5 linked regions of the Macaca fascicularis genome follow. The protein of the gene in region 1 interacts with the protein of each later gene in a pairwise test. Links are inferred from orthologs where the notes say so. Each region holds a gene or a part of one and is shown in the gene's direction. Other genes may lie near its edges.

Region 1 (3,775 bases):
TAGGTCATAGGTGACCACTGTCTCCATTATTCTCTAGGAATGCATGGTCTTCCAGCCAGTTAGGATTAGGTTCTGTTATGAGTGGCAGAAACACCAAAATAACAGTGGCTTAAAGAGGGTAAAAATTTGCTTTATTCTCAAGCGAAAGTATGGGTGGACAGTCCAGGACTGCCCCATCAGAGACCTGCTCCTTTCATCTCGTTACCATTTTCAACATGTGGCTACCATTTCATGACTCAAGATGGCTGCTTCAACTTGAGCCATCCCATCTTCTTTCCAGTCAGCAGGCAGGAGAAAAGGGGAGGAGCAGGGCATGCCCCTCCCTTGAAAGACGGTTTATGCAATTTCCTACAAATTACACGAAACATTTGCATATACATTCCAGAGCACAGCCAACTGGCCACACCCAGTTGGAAGGGAGGCTTAGATTCACGGTTTTCGTTTGTTTGTTTTTTTGAGATGGAGTCTGCCTCTGTTGCTCAGACTGGAGTGCAGTGGTACTATCTCAGCTCACTGCAGCCTCCGTCTTCTGGTTTCAAGCAATTCTCCTGCCTCAGCTTCCTGAGTGGCTGGGACTACAGGTGTGCACCACCGTGCCCAGCTAATTTTTTTATTTTTAGTAAAGATGAGTTCTTGCTATGTTGCCCAGGCTGGTCTCAAACTCCTGAGCTCAAGTGATCTGCCCACCTCGGCCTCCCAAAGTGCTGGGACTACAGGTGTGAGCCACCACACCCAGCCCTTTATACCATGTGTCTTGTTAAAACTCAGCGCCCTTATTATTAAAGAAGAAAAGGTGGTGAACGTCCAGGAACAATAAGCAGTGTCTGCCAGTCTTTCATCTCTGCATCTCCCCACGCATAGACTCTTTTCTCTGTAGACCAGCCTTCTCTGTTCAGAGTTTATGACCCCTCACACTTTCCAGGGTGGCCATGATGTCAGCTCTTAGCCCAATTCCACAGGTCTGTTCAGTTCGTAAGCAGCACATGGTGCAGCCAGCTAAGCCCCTGAGTCTCAAGTGCAGATTCTTAGGAGAGAACATTTAATTGGTTCTGCTTGGGTCAGGTGATCACCTCCTTAGCTCTGAATCAGTCATCTGTGGCACGGATCTGTCTTCTAGGAGAGGATGGAGCAACTTCTCTAGGAAAGAGATGTAAGCGGGAGGAAGTGATGGGTGTCTGTTAAGTCCTCCTTCTGAACTTACCCCTGTCACAACACCCATCCTGCTGGATGCAGTTGTTGGGTGCTTGTCCTTAGAGCAGGATGCATTTTCCTTGTATCTTTAACTCAGAGTCTAGCAACTACCTGGCACACTATAAATGAATAATCTAATTTTATCCTCAGCTTTACAGTGGTTGAATACCTGCCTAAATTTATATAGTTAAGAGGTTGGGCATGGTGGCTCATGCCTATAATCTCAGCAATTTGGGAGGCCAAGGCGGGAGGGTCGCTTGAGGTCAGGAGTTTAAGACCAGCCTGGGCAACATAGTGATACTTCATCTCTACTAAAAATTAAAAAAATTATCTGAGCATGGTGGTACATACCTGTAGTCCCAGCTACTCAAAAGGCTGAGATGGGAGGATTGCTTGAGCCCAGGAGGTTGAGGCTGCAGTGAGCTGTGATCCCACCACTGTACTCCAGTCTGGGCATCAGAGAGAGACCCTGTCTCAAAAAAAAAAAAAAAAAAAGGCATCAGAGAATTACCTGGCTAGTTACTGTTTGTGAGCCCCATTGTTGAGCACTTGTGTCTGCTGTACCCCTCCCCAGGACTGCAGAGAATCTCCCCCCAGATGTGGCTCAAGAGGGCCCCAGACTGGAAGACACTGGCCGCACCACTCAGAGTCCATTTCCTGCCTCAGCCTTATTGCCAAGGCCAATGTCTCCCCACAGCTCCAAGATGGGCCCCTTTGGAGAGATCCCAGCCTGACTACACCTTTACCAAAGCTGGTCTCTAGATGCAGGGGCACTCTAGGAGGTGGGCTGAGTAATGAGGCAAAGGTGGGAAGCAGGGTCTCCATAGCCGTACACCCTGCGCTGCTCTCAGAGGTGGATCCAGCCACAGAGAAGAGCTGACATCTTCCCCTCTATCATATTCCTACTCCCTAGCCCCCAATCCCTTTCCCCCTGCCTCCTCTGAGTCCCTTCATGCCTCCCCGTGCCTGTTCTCTCAAGCCATCTGTCCCTGCAGGCCTCGAATCCTCTGTGGCAGTCCCGGGGCTCCACCACTGTGTCTTCAGGAGGCCGTTTCCGCTGCCCATCTTGCAGGCATGAGGTTGTCCTGGACAGACACGGTGTCTACGGCCTGCAGCGAAACCTGCTAGTGGAGAACATTATTGACATTTACAAGCAGGAGTCGTCCAGGTGAGCCGCCAGGGTCTCTTGCCTCTCTAAATGTCAGGGCTTGGGACACAGCCAAGGAACCCATCAGAGCCAGAAGGGAGAGACTGAAACCGTCAACCCGCCTGTTCTGTCTAGAGACAATAGGACTGGATCCGGAGAGGGATTGCCTCAGGCCTCCCAGAGAGGGCAGTCCCTGATTCCCTAGCCAGTACTTCACTCCTACCCTCTCCTCCTGGGAGAGGCTGGCAGTCCACCAGCAAGATCCTCGCCAACCCTCCAAGACTTCCTGTCCTGTGGGACTTCCCTGCCCCCTGAAATACAGACTATTCTTGGATCCAGGCCTTCTCTATCTCTTAGCTCCTTCTATTCCCCAAACTCAGAGCTCTGTGGAAGTACTCACCAGTTCAGCCACAGCACTAGCTGCAGGGGTGGAGAAGGGGTGGTAGTTGGTGGAGGCTGAAGAGAAGGTGTTCCTAGGACCCTTCATGCTTAAGGTCCACCTCCCCCTGCCCACTCCTCTCTAGGCCGCTGCACTCCAAGGCTGAGCAGCACCTCATGTGCGAGGAGCATGAAGAGGAGAAGATCAATATCTACTGCCTGAGCTGTGAGGTGCCCACCTGCTCTCTCTGCAAGGTCTTCGGTGCCCACAAGGACTGTGAGGTGGCCCCACTGCCCACCATTTACAAACGCCAGAAGGTATCAAACAGGGGAGGGAGTAGATGTGTGGGAGATGGGGGCTTAGGACAGGGTCTCAATGTCAGCCTCTTATTCCACTTATCATTTGTTTATTTCTTTATTTATTTAGAGACAGGATCTCACTCTGTTGCCCAGGCTGGAGTGCAGTGGCACAAACACAACTTACTGCAGCCTTGATCTCCTGAGCTCAAGTGATCCTCCCGTCTTAGCCTCCCAGAACACTAAGATTATAGATGTGAGCCACTGCACTCAGCCCTATCTATTATCTATCTATCTATCTATCTATCTATCTATCTATCTATCTATCTATCTATTTTGAGATGGAGTCTCGCACTGTCACCCAGGCTGGAGTGCAGTGGTGCAATCTTGGCTCATAGCAACCTCAGCCTCCCGGGTTCAAGCCGTTCTTATGCCTCAGCCTTCCATGTACCTGGGATTACAGGTGTGTGCCACCACGCCCAGTTTTTTTGTTTTTTTGTTTTTTTGTTTTTTTTTTTTTTGATTCCTGGCTTCATGTGATCTGCCCACCTTGGCCTCCCAAAGTGCTGGAATTACAGGCGTGAGCCACTGTGCCCAGTTCCATTCATTTATTTTTGAAGAGATGTGGGGATCTCTGTCGCCCAGGCTGGGATGCACTGCTATGATTGTGATTCACTGCAGCAGCCTTGAACTCCTGGGCTCACGTGATCCCTACCACCTCAGTCTCCCGAGTAGCTGGAACTACAGGCATGTGCCGCCATG
Region 2 (4,534 bases), on another chromosome or scaffold:
ATTTTGGGAGGCTGAGGTGGGCGGATCACGAGGTTAAGAGTTGGAGATCAGCCTGGCCAATATGGTGAAATCCCGTCTCTACTAAAATTACAAAAAATTATCCGGGTGTGGTGGTGCACACCTGTAATCACAGCTACTCGGAAGGCTGAGGCAGAAAAATCGCTTGAACCCAGGAGGTGGAGGTTGCAGTGAGCCGAGATCCCGCCACTGCACTCCAGCCTGGGTGACAGAGCAAGATTCCATCTAAAAAAATAAAATAAATAAATAAACTGAGGCTTCAAGTGGCTCTTAAACATTTCTGGGGCTGGTGGGGTGGATGACTCATGCCTGTAATCCCAACACTTTGGGAGGGTGAGGCAGGTGGATCACCTGAGTTCAGGAGTTTAAGAGCAGCCTGGCCAACATGGCAAAAACCCATCTCTAGCCGGGTGCAGTGGCTCACGCCTGTAATCCCAGCACTTTGGGAGGCCAAGGCCGGCGGATTACTTGAGGTCAGGAGTTCAAGACCAGCCTGGCCAACATGGTAAAACCCTGTCTCTACTAAAAACACAAAAATTAACCAGGCGTTGTGGTGGGCACTTGTAATCCCAGCTACTCGGCAGGCTGAGGCAGGAGAATTGCTTGAACCCAGGAGGTGGAGGATGCAATGAGATCGCACCGCTGCACTCCAACCTGGGCGACAGAGCGAGACTCCATCTCAAAAAAAAAAAAAAAAAAAAAAAAAAGAAGGTTGGGCGTGGTGGCTCACGCCTGTAATCCCAGCACTTTGGGAGGCCAAGGCAGGTGGATCACGAGGTCAGAAGATCGAGACCATCGTAGCTAACACGGCGAAACCCCGTCTCTACTAAAAATACAAAAAAATTAGGTGGGCGTGGTGGCGGGTGCCTGTAGTCCCAGCTACTCGGGAAGCTGAGGCAGGAGAATGGTATGAACCCGGGAGGCAAAGGTTGCAGTGAGCCAATATCGCACCACTGCACTCCAGCCTGGGCGACAGAGCGAGAAGAGAACTGTCAGCCCACAGTGAAGAGACAGGCAGAGAAGAAGAGTTCACAGGGGAGCCAAATAAAAGCCATATCAGCTCAGGGGAACATTCTAGCTCTTTTTTTTTTCTTTCTTTTTGAGACAGGGTGTTGCCTTGTTACCCAGACTGGAGTGCAGTGGCGTGACCATGGCTCACTGCAGCCTCAACTTCCAGGTGTTAAGCAATCCTCCCACCTCAGCCTCCCGAGTAGCTGGGACTACAGGCATATGACACCACTCCTGGCTAATTTTTATATTTTATGTAGAGACGGGGGTCTTGCCATGTTGCCCAGGCTTGTCTTAAACTCTTGGGCTCAAGCGATCTGCCTTCCTCAGCTTCCCAGAGTCCTGGGATTACAGGCGTGAGCCATGGTGCTCGGCCCATTCTAGATCTTGAGAAATAAAATCCAAGCGTCAGAGCTAGAAGGGCCATGGGCTTGGAGGCTGAGACGAGGAGGGGCTGAAACCTTGGGAGTCAGGTATGTGTGCCCCGCTAGGGCTGCAGGAAGCTGCTGTCCTCAAAAAGGAAACAACACAATAACAAGTCACATGACCAGGGGAGTGGGTTCCTGTTTCCTGGTCCCTCCCAGGCCAGGCTTGGCCAGCCCAGGCCTGACCAGGCAGTGGCCAGAGTGACCCCAAGACGGCGTCCAGGGACTCAGGCCTCTGATCAAGTTACCCCCAGAAGATCAGAGAGGTAGAGAGCTGAACCCGTCATTTAGGAGGGCCGCGGAGGAGAGGGAATTATTGAGATTGCATTTCCAGGCTCAAAGAGAGGAGGGAAGGGGACAAAGACGTAGTGAAGGTAAAGAAGGCAGAGAAGAAGGGGGAGATCCAGACAACCTTGTTAGGTAGTGAGCTGCCTGTCCAGGAGGCATTCAAATGTGCCCAATCAACATTGATCACAAAATCCCTTCCTGAGGGGTAGTCAATGTCCCATTTCACAGCAGAGGAAATTGAGGTTGTCCTTTGTCCAGGACAACAAAGGCAAGAGGTCATGGCAGGCTGTGGTTTTAGGGGTTGACGAAGGAGAAGCATTCAGAGAGCACTGGCTTCTGGACAGCAATGAGTGCCCGGGCCACGCGGCCCCGAAGCCGGCGAGGGAGGCATGCTCCACCCGTAAGTGTCGCCCTCTCCCCTCCACACCCAGCTCCTGGGGACCCCAAGGTCCCATCCTGCCTGGCTCAGAGCGGGGCCACGGGGGTCATTTGCAGGGTGAACTGGACCCCGTGGCTGAGAGTTCAGAGGAGATTGAGGCAGCCAGTGGGAGCTCCAAGCTCAGCTTTGCCCCACCTCCTGTGAGCTCCGGGCTGGAACAGCTGGGCCCCATGGAGGAGGTCAGTGGCCAAGGCCTAGGAAGCAGGTAAGACCCCCTTGGTCTGTGCCCTTCACTCCAGTCCACATGCATCTTTGCCATCTGCAGATCTGCTGATGTGCCCTCTCTGCTCACACACCTACCATAGCTCCCTGTTGCCTTCAGCCTGACTTTCTTTTCTTTTTTTTGAGTCTTGCTCTGTCACCCAGGCTGCAGTGCAGTGGCACAATCTCCACTCACAGCAATCTCTGCCTCCTGGGTTCAAGAGGGAGCCTCAGCTTCCCGAGTAGCTGGGATTACAGGTGTGTGCCACCACACCCAGCTAATTTTTGTATTTTTAGTGAGACAGGGTCTTGCCACGTTAGCCAGGCTGGTCTTGAACTCCTGACCTCAGGTGATCCCCCCACTTCGGCCTCCGAAAGTGCTGGGATTACAAGTGTGAGTCGCTGCCCCAGAAGACCCCATTTCCAGAATCTTCTGTCTCTCACCTTCAGGACTTTCCCACTGCCCGTCACAGTCCAACTTACTATTCACTCTGCTTCGTAGCCCCAGGTCTCCCCTCCAACTTCTCCACCACCTCTGTCCAGCCTCTTCCCTGAATTCCCAGCCTCCCAGTCTCTCCCTGGGATGCAAGTCCCAGAACACGCAGCTCTTGCCAACTCTGCCCCGCTCACACCTCCCGAAGACCATGAAGTTTAAGCCCTAAGAATTCCCTGCCCTGGGCTGAGCGTTGTGGCCCATGCCTGTTATCGCAGAACTTTGGGAGGCCAAGTCGGGCGAATCACCTGAGGTCAGGAGTTTGACATCAGCCTGGCCAACATGGTGAAACCCTGTCTCTACTAAAAATACAAAAATTAGCCGGGCGTGGTGGTGGGCACCTGTAATCCCAGCTACTTGGGGGACTGAGGCAGGAGAATCACTTGAACCCAGGAGGTGGAGGTTGCAGTCAGCTGAGATCGCACCACTGCACTCCAGCCTGGGCAACAGAGTGAGACTCTGTCTCAAAAAATAAAAAAGAATTCCCTGCCCAGCATGGAGCGACTCAAGTGCCTGAGTTGGTGTCCACAGGACCGACAAGAAGACGGATGGGGGCTCTGGCAGGGGACTGGCCTCAGCCCCCGAGGTGCCCCACAAACCTGCAGTGGAAGCCTACCAGGCCCCAGAAGCAGCCCTACAGTACAAGGAGACTGTGCCCCCTGGGATTGGGGCCCCCGATGTGTTTCAGACCCTCCAGCACGCTCTGAGCTCCCTGGAGGCAGCGGCTGCAGCCTGGCGCCACCGGCCCCCCAGCCATCCTGGGCCAATGGAGTTGGAAGACACAAGCAAAGGGGGACCAGGTCCCCTTGGGAAGCAGGAAGGGGCAGGGAGCAGCCAGCGAGAGGCAGCTCGCCTGGCTGAGAGGAATGCCTGGCTCCGGCTGGCCCTGAGTAGCCGAGAGGATGAGCTGGTCCGCACGCAGGCCTCCCTGGAGGCCATCCGAGCTGAGAAGGAGACGCTGCAGAAAGAGGTGAGTGGGGCCATCCTGAGTCCTATGTGGCTCTCTGTCTGAGGGAGGAGGCAGGCCCGATGTAGGCAATATTCATTCATCTGTTCATTCCAAAAACCTTTTGAGGCTGGGTGTGGTGGCTCACGCCTATAATCCCAGCACTTTGGGAGATGGAGGCAGGAGGATCCTTTGAGGCCAGGAGTTCAAGACCAGCCTGGGCAACACAGCAAGACCCCTACCTCTGCAAAAAATAAAAAATAAAAATCAGCCAGGTTGGCCAGGCACGGTGGCTCACACCTGTAATCCCAGCACTTTGGGAGGCTGAGGTGGGCGTATCACAAAGTCAGGAGTTCAAGACCAGCTTGGCCAACATGGTGAAACCCCATCTCTACTAAAAATAAAAATAAATAAATAAATAAAAGCCAGGTGTGGTGGCATATGCCTGTAATTCCAGCTACTCAGGAGGCTGAGGCAGGAGAATCACTTGAACCCGGGTGATGGAGGTGGCAGTGAGCTGAGATCACATCAATGTACTCCAGTCTGGAGAACAGAGTGAGACTCTGTCTAAAAAAAAAAAAAAAAAAAAAAAAAAAAATCAGCCAGGTTGGCTGGGTGCGGTGGCTCATGCCTGTAATCTACACCAGCACTGTGGGAGGCCAAGGTGGGTGGATCCCTTGAGGCCAGGAGTTAGAGACCAGCCTGACCAATATGGT
Region 3 (4,310 bases), on another chromosome or scaffold:
AGTTGAGCACTCAGAAGTGAACAAGTAGAGTTGGTAAGTGCAAACCACACTTTCAGTAAGTTTGTGAAGTACGGAGCGGGAAGAAGAGACAATGGCTAGGGGTGGGTATTGCAGGACCTGAGGAGAGGCATGTGGCACCCTAGCTTCAATGCTGATAGGAAGGAGCCAGTAGAGAGGGAAAGGGTAAAACTGATTAGATGAAGGTCTCTGAGAAAGTACAGGATGCTCTCCAACCTCAAGCAGAATACGATATGAGCTACTGAATTCTATTCTGCAGGGATTTCACCACTGGTTTAGAAACATTTGGAATTATTTAATTTCTCTCCTATACATCCAGGATGATACCAGCTCTGTACCATCCTTCAGATAATTGGGAAAGCAGTCACTTAAATCATTCTCTGAAGGGCTTAATTCTCCTAGGAATACAGCTAAGAAAGGCTGGCTACATTAATTTATATTTCATGTGTATCATTTGGCAGAAACTAACCACAACTTTCATTTAGTTCAGCACTGTTGTTGGGCACGCAGTAGTCTCAAATATGCCAGAAATCCAGGCAGTAACATAAGCACTGCAATAGTATGCTTCACTTAGGTGATTCGCATTTTTTATTTTTTCTGCTAATGTAATTTGAACTATTAAAATTGTTTTTGATATCTTTTTACTCCTTTTGTTTTTCTAATACCTGTTAATATTCTACCATCTTGCTAACATTCTCTAGTCTTTTTTAATTATCTGCAATATATCTTTTTTAATAGGTTAGTCTTCCATCTACTTGTCTATTTTAACTAAGAATAAAGCAGCAGGCTGGGTGTGGTAGCTCACGCTGGTAAATCCCAGCACTTTGGGAGGCCAAGATGGGAGGACCACTTGAGGCTAGGAGTTAGAGGCCAGCCTGGGCAACATAGTGAGACCCTCTCTCTCCAAAAAAAAAAAAAATTGTATTATTATGAAGCTATGAAAACTAAAAAACTTAAAATTATTTTATTTTGTACTATAGAAGTTAAATAAGCAAATGTCTAGACATATAGACATTTAATTAAGTTTCTCATAAGTCCCTTAAAATTTTTGAAGATTTCTGTTCATCCTCATTCTTATGAACACACTCAAAAACTTAAAATACTACATGATTTTTGTTTTTTTCTCAGGAGTTGTGGAGTGTATGGCAGCTGGCACAATTATCCTTGCACACAATTCAGGGGGCCCAAAGCTTGACATTGTCGTTCCTCACGAAGGAGATATAACTGGCTTTCTGGCTGAGAGTGAAGAAGACTATGCTGAAACTATCGCTCACATTCTTTCCATGTCTGCAGAAAAGAGACTCCAAATCAGAAAAAGTGCTCGTGCATCTGTAAGCAGATTCTCTGATCAGGAATTTGAAGTGACATTCCTATCATCTGTGGAAAAGTTATTTAAGTAATGCCATATCTGGAAAATTAAAGATATTTTATATAAACTGGTTAAACACCTTCATATGTAAATATTTTTCTAAATTCAATCTCATTTGTCAAATCATTTTACTTTAGAAAACAGACAAGAAAATTTCCTTTTAGAATAAAAGGAAGTGTTGAAAAGAAAATGGATGACTAGCCTTCAGCTTCCATTCTTGGTACACATGAGAGAAGCTGGCTGCTGAGATGAATGTGAACCGGGTTGTGGAGAGCCTTCTGGCTTTGAGCCAACAGGAAGAATTAATGGATTTGCCAAAAAACTGCCCCTTGAGTGAGAATGAAGATGAGGGGGACAGTGATGGAGAGAGAAAGCATCAAAAGCTTCTGGAAGCAATCAGTTCCCTTGATGGAAAGAATAGGCGGAAATTGGCTGAGAGGTCTGAGGCTAGTCTGAAAGTGTCAGAGTTCAATGTCAGTTCTGAAGGATCAGGAGAAAAGCTGGTCCTTGCAGATCTCCTTGAGCCTGTTAAAACTACTTCTTCTTTGGCCACTGTGAAAAAGCAACTGAATAGAGTCAAATCAAAGAAGGTGGTGGAGTTACCTCTTAACAAAGAAAAGATTGAACAGATCCACAGAGAAGCAGCATTCGGTAAAACCTCACAAGTCCTCTCTAAATGGGACCCTATCGTCCTGAAGAACCAGCAGGCAGAGCAGCTGGCTTTTCCCCTGGGGAAGGAGCAGCCAGCCATTGCTCCCATTGAACATGCACTCAGTGGCTGGAAGGCAGGAACTCCCCTGGAGCAGGAAATTTTTAACCTCCTCCATAAGAACAAGCAGCCAGTAACAGACCCTTTACTGACTCCCATGGAAAAGGCCTCTCTCCAAGCCATGAGTCTGGAAGAGGCAAAGATGCACCGAGCAGAGCTTCAAAGGGCTCGGGCTCTGCAGTCCTACTATGAGGCCAAGGCTCGAAGAGAGAAGAAAATCAAAAGTAAAAAGTATCACAAAGTCGTGAAGAAAGGAAAGGCCAGGAAAGCCTCAAAAGAGTTGGAGCAGCTGCAGAAGGTTAATCCAACTGTGGCATTGGAAGAACTGGAAAAATTTGAAAATGCCAGAATGATGGAAAGAATGAGCCTTAAGCACCAAAACAGTGGGAAATGGGCCAAGTCAAAGGCAATTATGGCAAAATATGACCTGGAGGCTCGCCAAGCTATGCAGGAACAGTTGGCCAAGAACAAAGAACTGACACAGAAACTCCAGGTAGCCTCTGAGATTGAGGAAGAGGAGGGAGGCACAGAAGAAGTGGAAGAACTCCTTGTCCCCCATGTAGTGAATGAAGTCCAGATGAATGTGGACGGACCAAATCCCTGGATGCTCAGAAGCTGCACCAGTGACACCAGAGAGGCTGCAACCCAGGAGGACCCTGAGCAACTGCCAGAGCCTGCCACCCATGAGGTTTCTGAAAGTGAGGGAGAAAGACCAGTGGCAGAGGAAGAAATTTTGTTGAGAGACTTTGAGGAGAGGCGATCCCTTAGAAAAAGATCTGAGCTCAACCAGGATGCTGAGCCAGCAGGCATTCAAGAAACAAAAGATTCTAGCAGCCAGGAGGTGCTGTCTGAATTGAGGGCACTATCTCAGAAATTGAAGGAAAACCATCAGTCCAGGAAGCAAAAAGCAAGTTCAGAGGGGACTGTTCCCCAGGTCCAGAGAGAGGAACCTGCCCCAGAAGAAGAGGCGCCCCTGTTGCTACAGAGGCCAGAGAGAGTACAAACTGTGGAAGAGCTAGAAGAGCTGGGAAAAGAAGATTGTTTTCAAAATAAGGAGCTTCCCAGACCTGTGTTAGAAGGGCAGCAGTCAGAGAGGACCCCAAATAATCGGCCTGATGCCCCTAAGGAGAAGAAAGAGAAGGAGCAACTGATCGACGTACAGAACCTCCTAACTACACAGTCTCCTTCCGTGAGGTCTTTGGCAGTTCCCACAACAATAGAGGAGCTGGAAGATGAAGAGGAGAGAGACCAAAGGCAGATGATAAAGGAAGCTTTTGCTGGGGATGATGTCATCAGAAATTTCTTGAAAGAGAAGAGAGAAGCTGTGGAGGCGAGTACGCCAAAGGACGTGGACCTGACACTACCTGGCTGGGGCGAGTGGGGTGGTGTGGGCCTAAAGCCTAGTACCAAGAAAAGACGCCAGTTTCTCAAAGCCCCTGAGGGTCCTCCAAGAAAAGATAAGAATTTGCCAAATGTGATTATCAGTGAGAAGCGCAACATCCACGCAGCAGCTCATCAGGTACAAGTGCTTCCATATCCATTTACCCACCATCGGCAATTTGAAAGGACCATCCAGACCCCTGTAGGATCCACATGGAACACCCAGAGGGCTTTCCAAAAGCTGACTACTCCCAAGGTCATCACCAAGCCAGGTCATATCATTAAGCCCATAAAAGCAGAGGATGTGGGCTACCGGTCTTCCTCAAGGTCAGACCTGTCTGTCATACAGTGGAATCCAAAACAAATCACCACACGTCACAGTAAAGAGTTGAAGAAAAACTCTGTAGGTTGAGTAGCTGGAAAAGTGACAGCTAGGAGTTCTGATTCCACTTCCTTTGGTCCAGTTTTACTCTGCTACAGGGTGGATTCCAGAACTGGCTCAGCACATTGCATGTAGTTGAGCCACATTTTTAAAAAAAGAAAATGGATGACCATTAATTGACTAGCATTTTAGAATTGATCAGACATTAGAACACAGAAAAATGCTGGTACATTTACATTCTAAACAATACAGTGGATGACCCTTTTGAATATACCTAATGATTTCCTTTAAAAAGAAATTTTAAACAGACTTGTGTAATCATGTTCTCAAAGCATACAGTCAAGAGGTGGGACTGACTGATGCTTTATAGGTGTGTGTAGGGCAGTAGAGGC
Region 4 (4,229 bases), on another chromosome or scaffold:
GACGTGAGGGTGAAATGAGCTAACGTATGTGAAGCCCCTAGCACAGTGTCTGGCATGATAAAATAGGAGCTGTTCCTCTCCATTGGAATAGTAGAGCAGAACTTGTCCCAACCACGCAGTGCAACACTGTGATGGGAAAACAAAGATAAAGGCAGAACAGAGTTCAACACATTAGGAACATTTCAGGGGAGGTTACCTAGAAGGTCCACTACATTCTTCTCAGGACTAAATCCCTCCTGACTCTTGTCTGCACCCCAATCCTGGAAAACTCACCGTCACCCCATATTTGAGTGCTAGTCCAGCCAGGGTGTCTCCGGGCTCCAACTGATGCTCCAGGCGTCTTTCCCTCACTGGGGAGCAGGCCGATTGCACCAGGCTTCCATATGAACGAGCCCGGCTCCCGTGAAGCAGTCCTGACCCCCCTGGCGGGGGCTGTCTAGACGGGGAAGCCATCTCTTCACCCTGCCGACAGCTAGGTTGCAACTAGGGGAGGCCCGACCGAGACTGCGAGTGACAGGCCTGAAGTCTGGGAATAGATATTCAGGGGATTCCTTTCCCCTTCTCTCTTCCCCTGTGTCCCCGCCTCCCCAGCACTACGCCACCTGCCCCCTCCCGGTTTCTCCTCCCTCCAACTCCTTATCCACAAATCTGTCCCTTGAGTATTCAGTCCCTCCCTGATTCGCCCCTAAGCACCCCTCCGACTTTGAACTCCCCCACAACTCCTCGCTACATTGACCTCTGACCTTTGAACTCTAGAAATAATCCTCAACACTCTTTCCTCAGTTTGCCCCCAAGTAGCCTGGCCTCAGGGCGCTCCCACATCCCAGCTCTGCCCGGTCCCGGGGTTTGTTTGCTAGAGCCAGGAACAAATCAGGCCCACCCCAGGTGAACTGTCGCCGCAGACGAAGAGCGTGAGGATTGCGAGAATTTGTAGTACACCTTCCACTCAGAGATCCTCACAGGTCCGCTCCGCATCAGATAGGTCACACCCTCAAATTTCGGCTCCACATCTAGGTTCTTGTCCCTCTAAACGCCTCAGATCCACCAAGATGCAAGGGCCTGGATCCAGCTGAGCGGCAAGGTCTTTGAGGAAAAGACTTCATTTCCCAAAAGGCGTCGCGTCTGCAGAGTCGCACGGCACCATAGGAAATGCAGTTCCCTCCACGCGCCAGAGAGTGGATATCCGGATGGCGCAATGCATGCGTGGAAGTGCATTCCCGGAAGTACGGGGGCCGACAGGAAGACAAAGAGAAAAGAGAAGGCGCTGTCCCGCTCTTGCTACGGTGGCCTAGAGGAGTGGCGAAACCGGAACAAGAAAATTTATCACTCTGGGACTCACAGTCGTGATGTCTTTCAAGAGGGAAGGAGACGATTGGAGTCAACTCAATGTGCTCAAAGTAAGCGTGAGCGGAGAGGATCTGCAGCCTCTTCAGTCGCTCTCTGAAGGTTGGGAAGGAGCGTTGTTTCATTGCTCTGGCAACAACTCGGGGGTGCAGGAGAGAACCAGGCGACTTAGAGCTGTGTAGTGACTCCTTTTTCGGTCTATGATCGCTGTTCTCCCCAGGGTCCTTATGTCCTTATTCCGTTTGACTCCTCATTTCTGTCATTTAACTTCCATCCCTCTCTCCTATCCTGCTGATCCGTCCGGATTTCTTCCCCTACTCCCTGCAGAAAAGAAGAGTCGGGGACCTCCTCGCCAGTTACATCCCAGAGGATGAGGCGCTGATGCTTCGGGATGGACGGTAAGAGCGAGGAGTGGCTCAAGCCTGAGGGTTTTGCGGTTAGAGGCTCAATAGCTGTGTTGCCCAGGCTGTCCTTGAACTCTAGGGCTCAAGTGATCCTGCCTCCTCAGCGTCGCGATTAGCTGGGATTACAGGCGCACGCCACCACGCCCGGCTTCAACAAACTTTTGTTATTAATTAGGACAGCAGAAGTATCTAGGATTCTTTGGCGGCTAGTGAGGACTGGAAGAAGTGGAGATTGGGTCACCAGGGAGTTGGGTTTTGCAAAGACTGCTAGGACAGGGTGGGACTTACGGCAGGGACAGGCCCAACCCTCTTCCCCTGGACCAGTTATCCTCTTCTCTACCCCTGCTCAGCTTTGCTTGTGCCATCTGCCCCCATCGACCGGTACTGGACACCCTGGCCATGCTGACTGCCCACCGTGCAGGCAAGAAACATCTGTCCAGTAAGTTCGGGGGAAGACAGGGGATGGGGAATAAATCGAAATCTCTGCACACCAGCCTTGGTGCTATGCTTTTAATTCTGTTTCCCTTTCTCTTCAGGCTTGCAGCTTTTCTATGGCAAGAAGCAGCCGGGAAAGGAAAGGAAGCAGAATCCAAGACATCAGAATGAATTGAGGAGGGAAGAAACCAAAGCTGAGGTAATCAGAGAGTGGAGAGTGTGTTCTAGGCAAGACCCTGCTGCACACACCAGGCTGGAAGGGCAGAGGGCTGAAGGCTCTGACTCTGTCTCCCATCTTCTTACCAGGCTCCTCTGCTAACCCAGACACGACTTATCACCCAGAGTGCTCTGCACAGAGCTCCCCACTATAACAGTTGCTGCCGCCGGAAGTACAGGTATGGGAGGGGAAAGCCAGAGGTAGGAAGGCTCGGAAGGAGATAGAGGGCTCTGAAAGTGTTTTCCAGTCTGTATTCTGAGGAATACTAGCGTTCTGGAGATGTTACTTAGTGTTTCAAGAAAAGGAGAATTTTGGCCGGGCACGGTGGCTCACACCGGTAATCCCAGCACTTTTGGAGGCTTAGGCGGTGGATCACTTGAGATCAGGAGTTCAAGACCAGCCTGGCCAACATGGTGAAACCCCGTCTCTACCAAAAATATAAAAAATTAGCTGGGTGTGTGGTGTGTGCCTGTAATCCCAGCCACTCAAGAGGCTGAGGTGGAAGAATTGCTTGAATCCGGGAGGCAGAGGTTGCTGTGAGCCAGGATCATACCACTTCACTCCAGCCTAGGTGACAGAGTGAGACTCCATCTCAAAAGAAAAAGAAAAGGAGAATTTTGTGATTTTTAAATAAAGTTTGGGAAATGGCACTTTGTAATTCTACTTGAAGAGTAACAGTTTTAGGCCGGGCGCAGTGGCTCAAGCCTGTAATCCCAGCACTTTGGGAGGCCGAGACGGGTGGATCGCGAGGTCAGAAGATCGAGACCATCCTGGCTAACACGGTGAAACCCCGTCTCTACTAAAAAATACAAAAAACTAGCCGGGTGAGGTGGCGGGCGCCTGTATCCCAGCTACTCGGGAGGCTGAGGCAGGAGAATGGCGTAAACCCGGGAGGCGGAGCTTGCAGTGAGCTGAGATCTGGCCACTGCACCCCAGCCTGGGTGACAGAGCAAGACTCCATCTCAGAAAAAAAAAAAAAAAAAAAAAGAGTAACAGTTTTAAAAGCTATACAAAGTCTTAAGAATTAAAAAAAAAACTTGTAAAATTTAAAGCTAGCCTTTCCCAAATTCATGATTCTAAAATCCTTTGTATGCAGAACTTACTAATATCTTGAAAAATATAGTTTAAGAAACACTGTTTTAAGAGGTTGGGAGTCATAGGAGAGTTGGCCCTTTCCCTTACTGCTTTTACAGACTATTCTTCTCTACCTAGACCAGAAGCCCCTGGTCCCTCTGTCTCCCTTTCTCCTGTGCCACCCTCAGAGGTCGAACTCCAAAGCGGGAAGATCAGTAGGGAACCTGAACCTGGGGCTGGCCCACAGGCTGAGGAGTCAGCAACTGTCTCAGCCCCTGCACCCATGAGCCCCACAAGAAGACGAGCCCTGGACCATTATCTCACCCTTCGAAGGTGAGTGTGCCTAATCAGTTTCCTCAGATTTTCTTTTCTCTCTGACCCTTCTTGTTTCAAAGCTTTTTTTTTTTTTTTTTTTTTTTGAGACGGAGTCTCGCTCTGTCACCAGGCTGGAGTGCAGTGGTGTGATCTCATCTCAGCTCACTGCAACCTCCGCCTCCCAGGTTCAAGCGATTCCCCTGCCTCAACCTCTCGAGTAGCTGGGATTACAAGCATGTGCCACCATGCCTGGCTTATTTTTTGTATTTTAGTAGAGGCGGGGTTTCACTACGTTGGTGAGGATGGTCTCAATCTCCTGACCTTGTGATCCACCCACCTCGGCCTCCCAAAGTGCTGGGATTACAGGCGTGAGCCACCGTGCCCGCCCCCCAATTTTTTTTTTTTTTTTTTTTGAGACAGAGTTTTGTGTGTTCCCCAGG
Region 5 (4,250 bases), on another chromosome or scaffold:
TCTTCCTCCCTCTCCCCCCATTCAGTGTTCAGACTCCTGGCTCTACTTGAACCCAGCCTGTCTTGACTTCAGGATCCCGCCTTCTAAGCCGTGTGGTCCATTCCGGGGGCAGTCGTCCATCTGGGCCCAGATCCCTGAGTCTATTTCCAGCCTCCCTGAGACCACCCAGAACTTCCTCTTCTTCCTGGGGACCCAGGCTTTTGCTGCGCCCCTTCTGCTGATCTCCAGGTGAGGTGGGCCAGACTTCTGGGTCTGGGTTTGAATGCGTGTGATCTGGGGGCCACCACCTGCGTCCAAGAGAGGAAAGGCTTGGGGGTGGGAGCAGGCGATGTACTGAGTCTGAGGGAGGAGGCCTAGGCTCCTGGACTGCTGGGTCCGAAGGAGGAGGTGGGCGGGACTTAGGACTCCTGGATCTGAACGCGGAGGTGCTGGGAGACTGAACTCCTTGAGCCTGGACGAGGAGGGACTTAGGGGTCCACATCCCTGACTTCGAAGAGCGTGTCAGGAGTGGCTTCCGTTCCTGTCTCCTCCAGCATCCTGATGGCGTACACTGTGGCTCGGGCTAACTCCTACGGACGCCTCATCTCTGAGCTCAAACGTCAGAGGGAGACGGTGAGCCAGGCGGGTCCCTGAGAGGGCCCCCGGGGAACACGGAGAGGGGCTGGGGAAGAGGGCTGTCACACCTCCACCTCTCTTTGCCGCAGGAGGCGCAGAATAAAGTCTTCCTGGCACGGCGCGCTGTGGCGCTGACCTCCACCGAACCGGCTCTTTGACCCCCGCAGCTCACGCCCCACTTTCAGACCCCAGGCCCATTGTAAGCCTAGGTCACAACATCTGTAAACTAGGAGAACTGGAGAAGACTCCACGCCCTTCCAGCTTTGGTATCTGGAGATTTCCAGGGCCCCTCGCCGCCACGTCCCTGACTCTCGGGTGATCTTTCTTGTATCAATAAATACAGCCGAGGTTGCTGAGCGCGCTTTGAAATCTGCGTCCTGAAGGTGGGGGCAGGGCTACCGCAGGGCAGGAGCCAATCAAATGTATGGGCATGTTTGTCGGTGCGGAGCGCACTTCCGCAAGGAGACTTGACGGTCATGTCGACCAATCGACGGCCGCATCTGGTAGCATCGGGGCGGGCCAACTTATGATTGGTTCAGATCTGTGATAAGAGGCGGTTGCTAGGGGATACCACGAGCCGAACGCCTAACATTCGCTGTGAAAAGGACGTCTCAGCCAATCACCTGTCGTTACAGGCCAGGGGGCCGTACCAACTAATTCGGAACCAATCTGCGGTCGAAGTAGGGACAAGAGGAAGGGGGGCATCCTCTCGCCAATCGGAAGTGCAAAGAGGCGGGCGTGCCAGTCCCTGGACAGCTACGACGCCATGAATATCTTGCCCAAGAAGAGCTGGCACGTCCGGAACAAGGACAATGTCGCCCGCGTGCGGCGTGACGAGGCCCAGGCCCGGGAGGAGGAGAAGGAGCGTGAGCGGAGGGCGCTGCTGGCTCAGCAAGAGGTAAGCTCGGAGGCCGGCCGGGCTGACCGCCGGAGCCCAGCGCGCACGCGCCGCGGTTGGGGGCCGGAAGCGGAAGCGTTGCGCAGGCTCAGTGTGCCCCGTGTGAAATTCGGGACCAGGCGCCGATCCCGTTTTCGAGGACGTTGCTCTGCAAACCTTGTGGCCACTTCCACGAAACCTCCCTTGATCTCGCCTTCGTCTTAGTTTCCCCCCACTGATGTATTTCACATGGCTGGAACAGTGTCTAGCACAAAAGAGCAGCTTAAAAACATTTAATGAATACATGAGCGCTTGGACAGTTCAAGGAAATTCGGATCACTTTTTAGTTTGCCTGCGCAGTTTATTTATTGAGCACCTATTGTATGCTAACTACATGCAGAGCGCCTGACTTGCGGAATCCCCAGGAGGCACTGTTCGTTCTTAGAGGGGCACTGTCATCTCCGTTGCACGGAGTGAGATGGCTTCAGTGAGGGGAAGGCACATTTAAGGAGAGGGGGACAGCCAGGCTCCACGCCATCGGGCGAGCCCTTTCCTGCACCGCCCCCTAGACACATACACACAAACACGGGCTTTCTGTATGGCTCCTTAAATCTGTTTGGTGTACACCCAACTTTCAGTTCCTTAGCTAGTCTGATCCTCCACAGTGGGTGGGAGGTAGTCTGGGTTTTTAGAATCTCAGTAGGCTGCTGAGCGCTGTTTGAAATCTGCGTCCTGAAGGCGGGGGACAGGGCTTCAGCAGTCGACTTGGGGTAGTGACTTGGAGCCATGGCTAGAATTCAGATCGTCTGGCCTAATGCAGTTTGGTCTACCTTTATGGCTGTTTTAATTGTCTCACTTGAGGTTAGGAACCCCTTTGGTTTAGGCCAGGGACCTCCTTCCAGCCATCCTTGATGACCCGTGGTTTACGATTTGAAAGGCAGTTTACAAAACCCAGGCGTTGCCTCATCTGCCTACCCTCACCCCCAGCTAGGACAGGTGCCTCTTTTAAGCGTCTAGTGCTCCCTTTCTTATAACCCCAGCACCCTGGACTGCCATTTTCTGTGGTGGGCACCAGACTCACAGTTCTTGAATCACCTCTAGGTTCTGAATGCCCTGCCTATAACTTTCTCCCCAGGCCCGTACAGAATTCCTACGAAAGAAAGCCAGACATCAGAACTCACTGCCTGAGCTTGAAGCAGCAGAGGCGGGAGCCCCAAGTTCTGGCCCTGTGGACCTGTTTCGGGAGCTGCTGGAGGAAGGGAAAGGAGTGATCAGAGGCAATAAAGAGTACGAGGAAGAAAAGCGACAGGAGAAAGTAAGCTGGCCTCACCCACTTCATTAGAGGAGCCATGAATCGAGTTGGGGGGAGAGGGCACTTTAGCCACTGCTTGTGATCAAGGTCAAACGAGAACGAACACACAGAATTTAGAACCATACCAAAGCATGACACTTAAGAAGTGTTGCCATCTGGGCACCCACAGGGCTTGGAGGTAGATGCTAGAGGTCCCCAGCTGCCAGGCAAACTGCTCAGTTCTCAAAACTGGAGGGGTCTGAAACCTTGATAGGCTTTTAAAAATGTAAATCAGCCAGCTGTGGCTCATGCCTGTAATCCCAGCACTTTGGGAGGCTGAGGCAGGTGGATCACCTGAGGTCAGGAGTTCAAGACCAGCCTGGTCAACATGGTATCTCTAAGAATACAAAAAAATAAGCCAAGTGTGGTGGTGCACGCCTGTAATCCAGCTACTTGAAGGCTGAAGCAGGAGAATCGCTTGACCTGGGAGGTGGAAGTTGCAGTGAGCTGAGATTGCGCCACTGCACTCCAGCCCGGGTGACAGAGCGAGACCCCATCTCAAAAAAAAAAAGAAAAAAAAAAAAAAAGGCGAATCATTCGCCTCTTGCCTTTTGGCTAAGATCAAGTGTAAAAAGTATGTCTGGTCGTGCATGGTGGCTCACACCTGTAATCCCAGCACATTGGGAGGCCAAGGTGGATGGATCACCTGAGGTCAGGAGTTCAAGACCAGCCTGGCCAAACATGGCAAAACCCCGTCTGTACTAAAAATACAAAAATTAGCCGGGCATGGTGGTGCGTGCCTGTAATCCCAGCTACTAGGGGGGCTGAGGCAGGAGGATTGCTTGAACCTGGGAGGCAGAGGTTGCAGTGAGCCGAGATGGTGCCACTACACTCGAGCCTGGGCAACAGAGCGAGACTGCATCTCAAAAAAAAACAGGTACATGAGCTCTTGTCACTCACCTGCTGTCTCTGGACTTGTTGACCCCACCCATGGCTCCTCTGCTTTGCTTGATCCCTTCAGGCTTCTCTTCAAGTCTCTCTGCAAAGATGCCTGCCTCTGAACACTCAAGTGGCTCCACTTGTCCCCTCCTTCCCCTGCTGTTACCTGCCACTGTCCCCCCAGGGGGAACTTGGCCTCTGTTGGTGTCTTCCATCCCCAGCACCTGGTACAACTGGTTCATGACAAGCCTTAGGTACCTGTTTGCTTAGATTCCTATGTCAGGGAGACACACCTGACACCTTGAAAGATTATATCCCATCTCTTGTATTTCCTGGCCCCCTCAGGAGAGGCAAGAGAAAGCTCTGGGCATCCTGACATACCTGGGCCAGAGTGCAGCGGAGGCACAGACTCAACCCCCTTGGTACCAGCTACCCCCAGAGCGAGGGGGGCCCCCTCCTGGCCCAGCCCCAGATGAGAAGATCAAGAGCCGTCTGGACCCTCTTCGGGAGATGCAGAAGCATCTGGGG

The links.
Region 2: the proteins of TRIM54 (region 1) and USHBP1 interact in binary tests that used the Homo sapiens proteins (3 or more experiments, as listed by UniProt). The two-hybrid records come from large-scale screens. The link is inferred for Macaca fascicularis from reciprocal best matches to the Homo sapiens genes TRIM54 and USHBP1.
Region 3: the proteins of TRIM54 (region 1) and UTP14C interact in a two-hybrid assay, tested with the Homo sapiens proteins (2 studies listed by BioGRID and IntAct). The two-hybrid records come from large-scale screens. The link is inferred for Macaca fascicularis from reciprocal best matches to the Homo sapiens genes TRIM54 and UTP14C.
Region 4: the proteins of TRIM54 (region 1) and SCNM1 interact in binary tests that used the Homo sapiens proteins (3 or more experiments, as listed by UniProt). The two-hybrid records come from large-scale screens. The link is inferred for Macaca fascicularis from reciprocal best matches to the Homo sapiens genes TRIM54 and SCNM1.
Region 5: the proteins of TRIM54 (region 1) and LENG1 interact in binary tests that used the Homo sapiens proteins (3 or more experiments, as listed by UniProt). The two-hybrid records come from large-scale screens. The link is inferred for Macaca fascicularis from reciprocal best matches to the Homo sapiens genes TRIM54 and LENG1.

Annotation. Positions count from the first base shown.
Region 1 is NC_088387.1:94,921,006-94,924,780, reverse strand, and holds part of TRIM54 (tripartite motif-containing protein 54), read left to right. Parts: intron 1-2,186; coding exon 2,187-2,359; intron 2,360-2,862; coding exon 2,863-3,034; intron 3,035-3,775. UniProt on the Homo sapiens protein: May bind and stabilize microtubules during myotubes formation.
Region 2 is NC_088393.1:17,583,528-17,588,061, reverse strand, and holds the start of USHBP1 (harmonin-binding protein USHBP1), read left to right. Parts: upstream 1-1,642; 5' UTR 1,643-2,085; coding exon 2,086-2,139; intron 2,140-2,234; coding exon 2,235-2,383; intron 2,384-2,684; exon of another isoform or gene 2,685-3,403; coding exon 3,404-3,842; intron 3,843-4,534.
Region 3 is NC_088391.1:31,198,575-31,202,884, forward strand, and holds the start of UTP14C (U3 small nucleolar RNA-associated protein 14 homolog C), read left to right. Parts: upstream 1-1,418; 5' UTR 1,419-1,635; coding exon 1,636-3,948; 3' UTR 3,949-4,310. Other genes in the region: ALG11 (GDP-Man:Man(3)GlcNAc(2)-PP-Dol alpha-1,2-mannosyltransferase), read left to right, coding at 1,147-1,418. UniProt on the Homo sapiens protein: Essential for spermatogenesis. May be required specifically for ribosome biogenesis and hence protein synthesis during male meiosis.
Region 4 is NC_088375.1:110,052,898-110,057,126, reverse strand, and holds the start of SCNM1 (sodium channel modifier 1), read left to right. Parts: upstream 1-1,337; 5' UTR 1,338-1,346; coding exon 1,347-1,397; exon of another isoform or gene 1,398-1,446; intron 1,447-1,671; coding exon 1,672-1,742; intron 1,743-2,098; coding exon 2,099-2,187; intron 2,188-2,284; coding exon 2,285-2,382; intron 2,383-2,489; coding exon 2,490-2,578; intron 2,579-3,593; exon of another isoform or gene 3,594-3,612; coding exon 3,613-3,807; intron 3,808-4,229. Other genes in the region: LYSMD1 (lysM and putative peptidoglycan-binding domain-containing protein 1), read right to left, coding at 274-453. UniProt on the Homo sapiens protein: As a component of the minor spliceosome, involved in the splicing of U12-type introns in pre-mRNAs. Plays a role in the regulation of primary cilia length and Hedgehog signaling.
Region 5 is NC_088393.1:61,961,942-61,966,191, reverse strand, and holds the start of LENG1 (leukocyte receptor cluster member 1), read left to right. Parts: upstream 1-1,358; 5' UTR 1,359-1,381; coding exon 1,382-1,513; intron 1,514-2,627; coding exon 2,628-2,807; intron 2,808-3,563; exon of another isoform or gene 3,564-3,660; coding exon of another isoform or gene 3,661-3,720; intron 3,721-3,804; coding exon of another isoform or gene 3,805-3,966; exon of another isoform or gene 3,967-3,976; intron 3,977-4,067; coding exon 4,068-4,250. Other genes in the region: voltage-gated chloride channel TMC4, read left to right, coding at 73-228, 534-612, 705-773.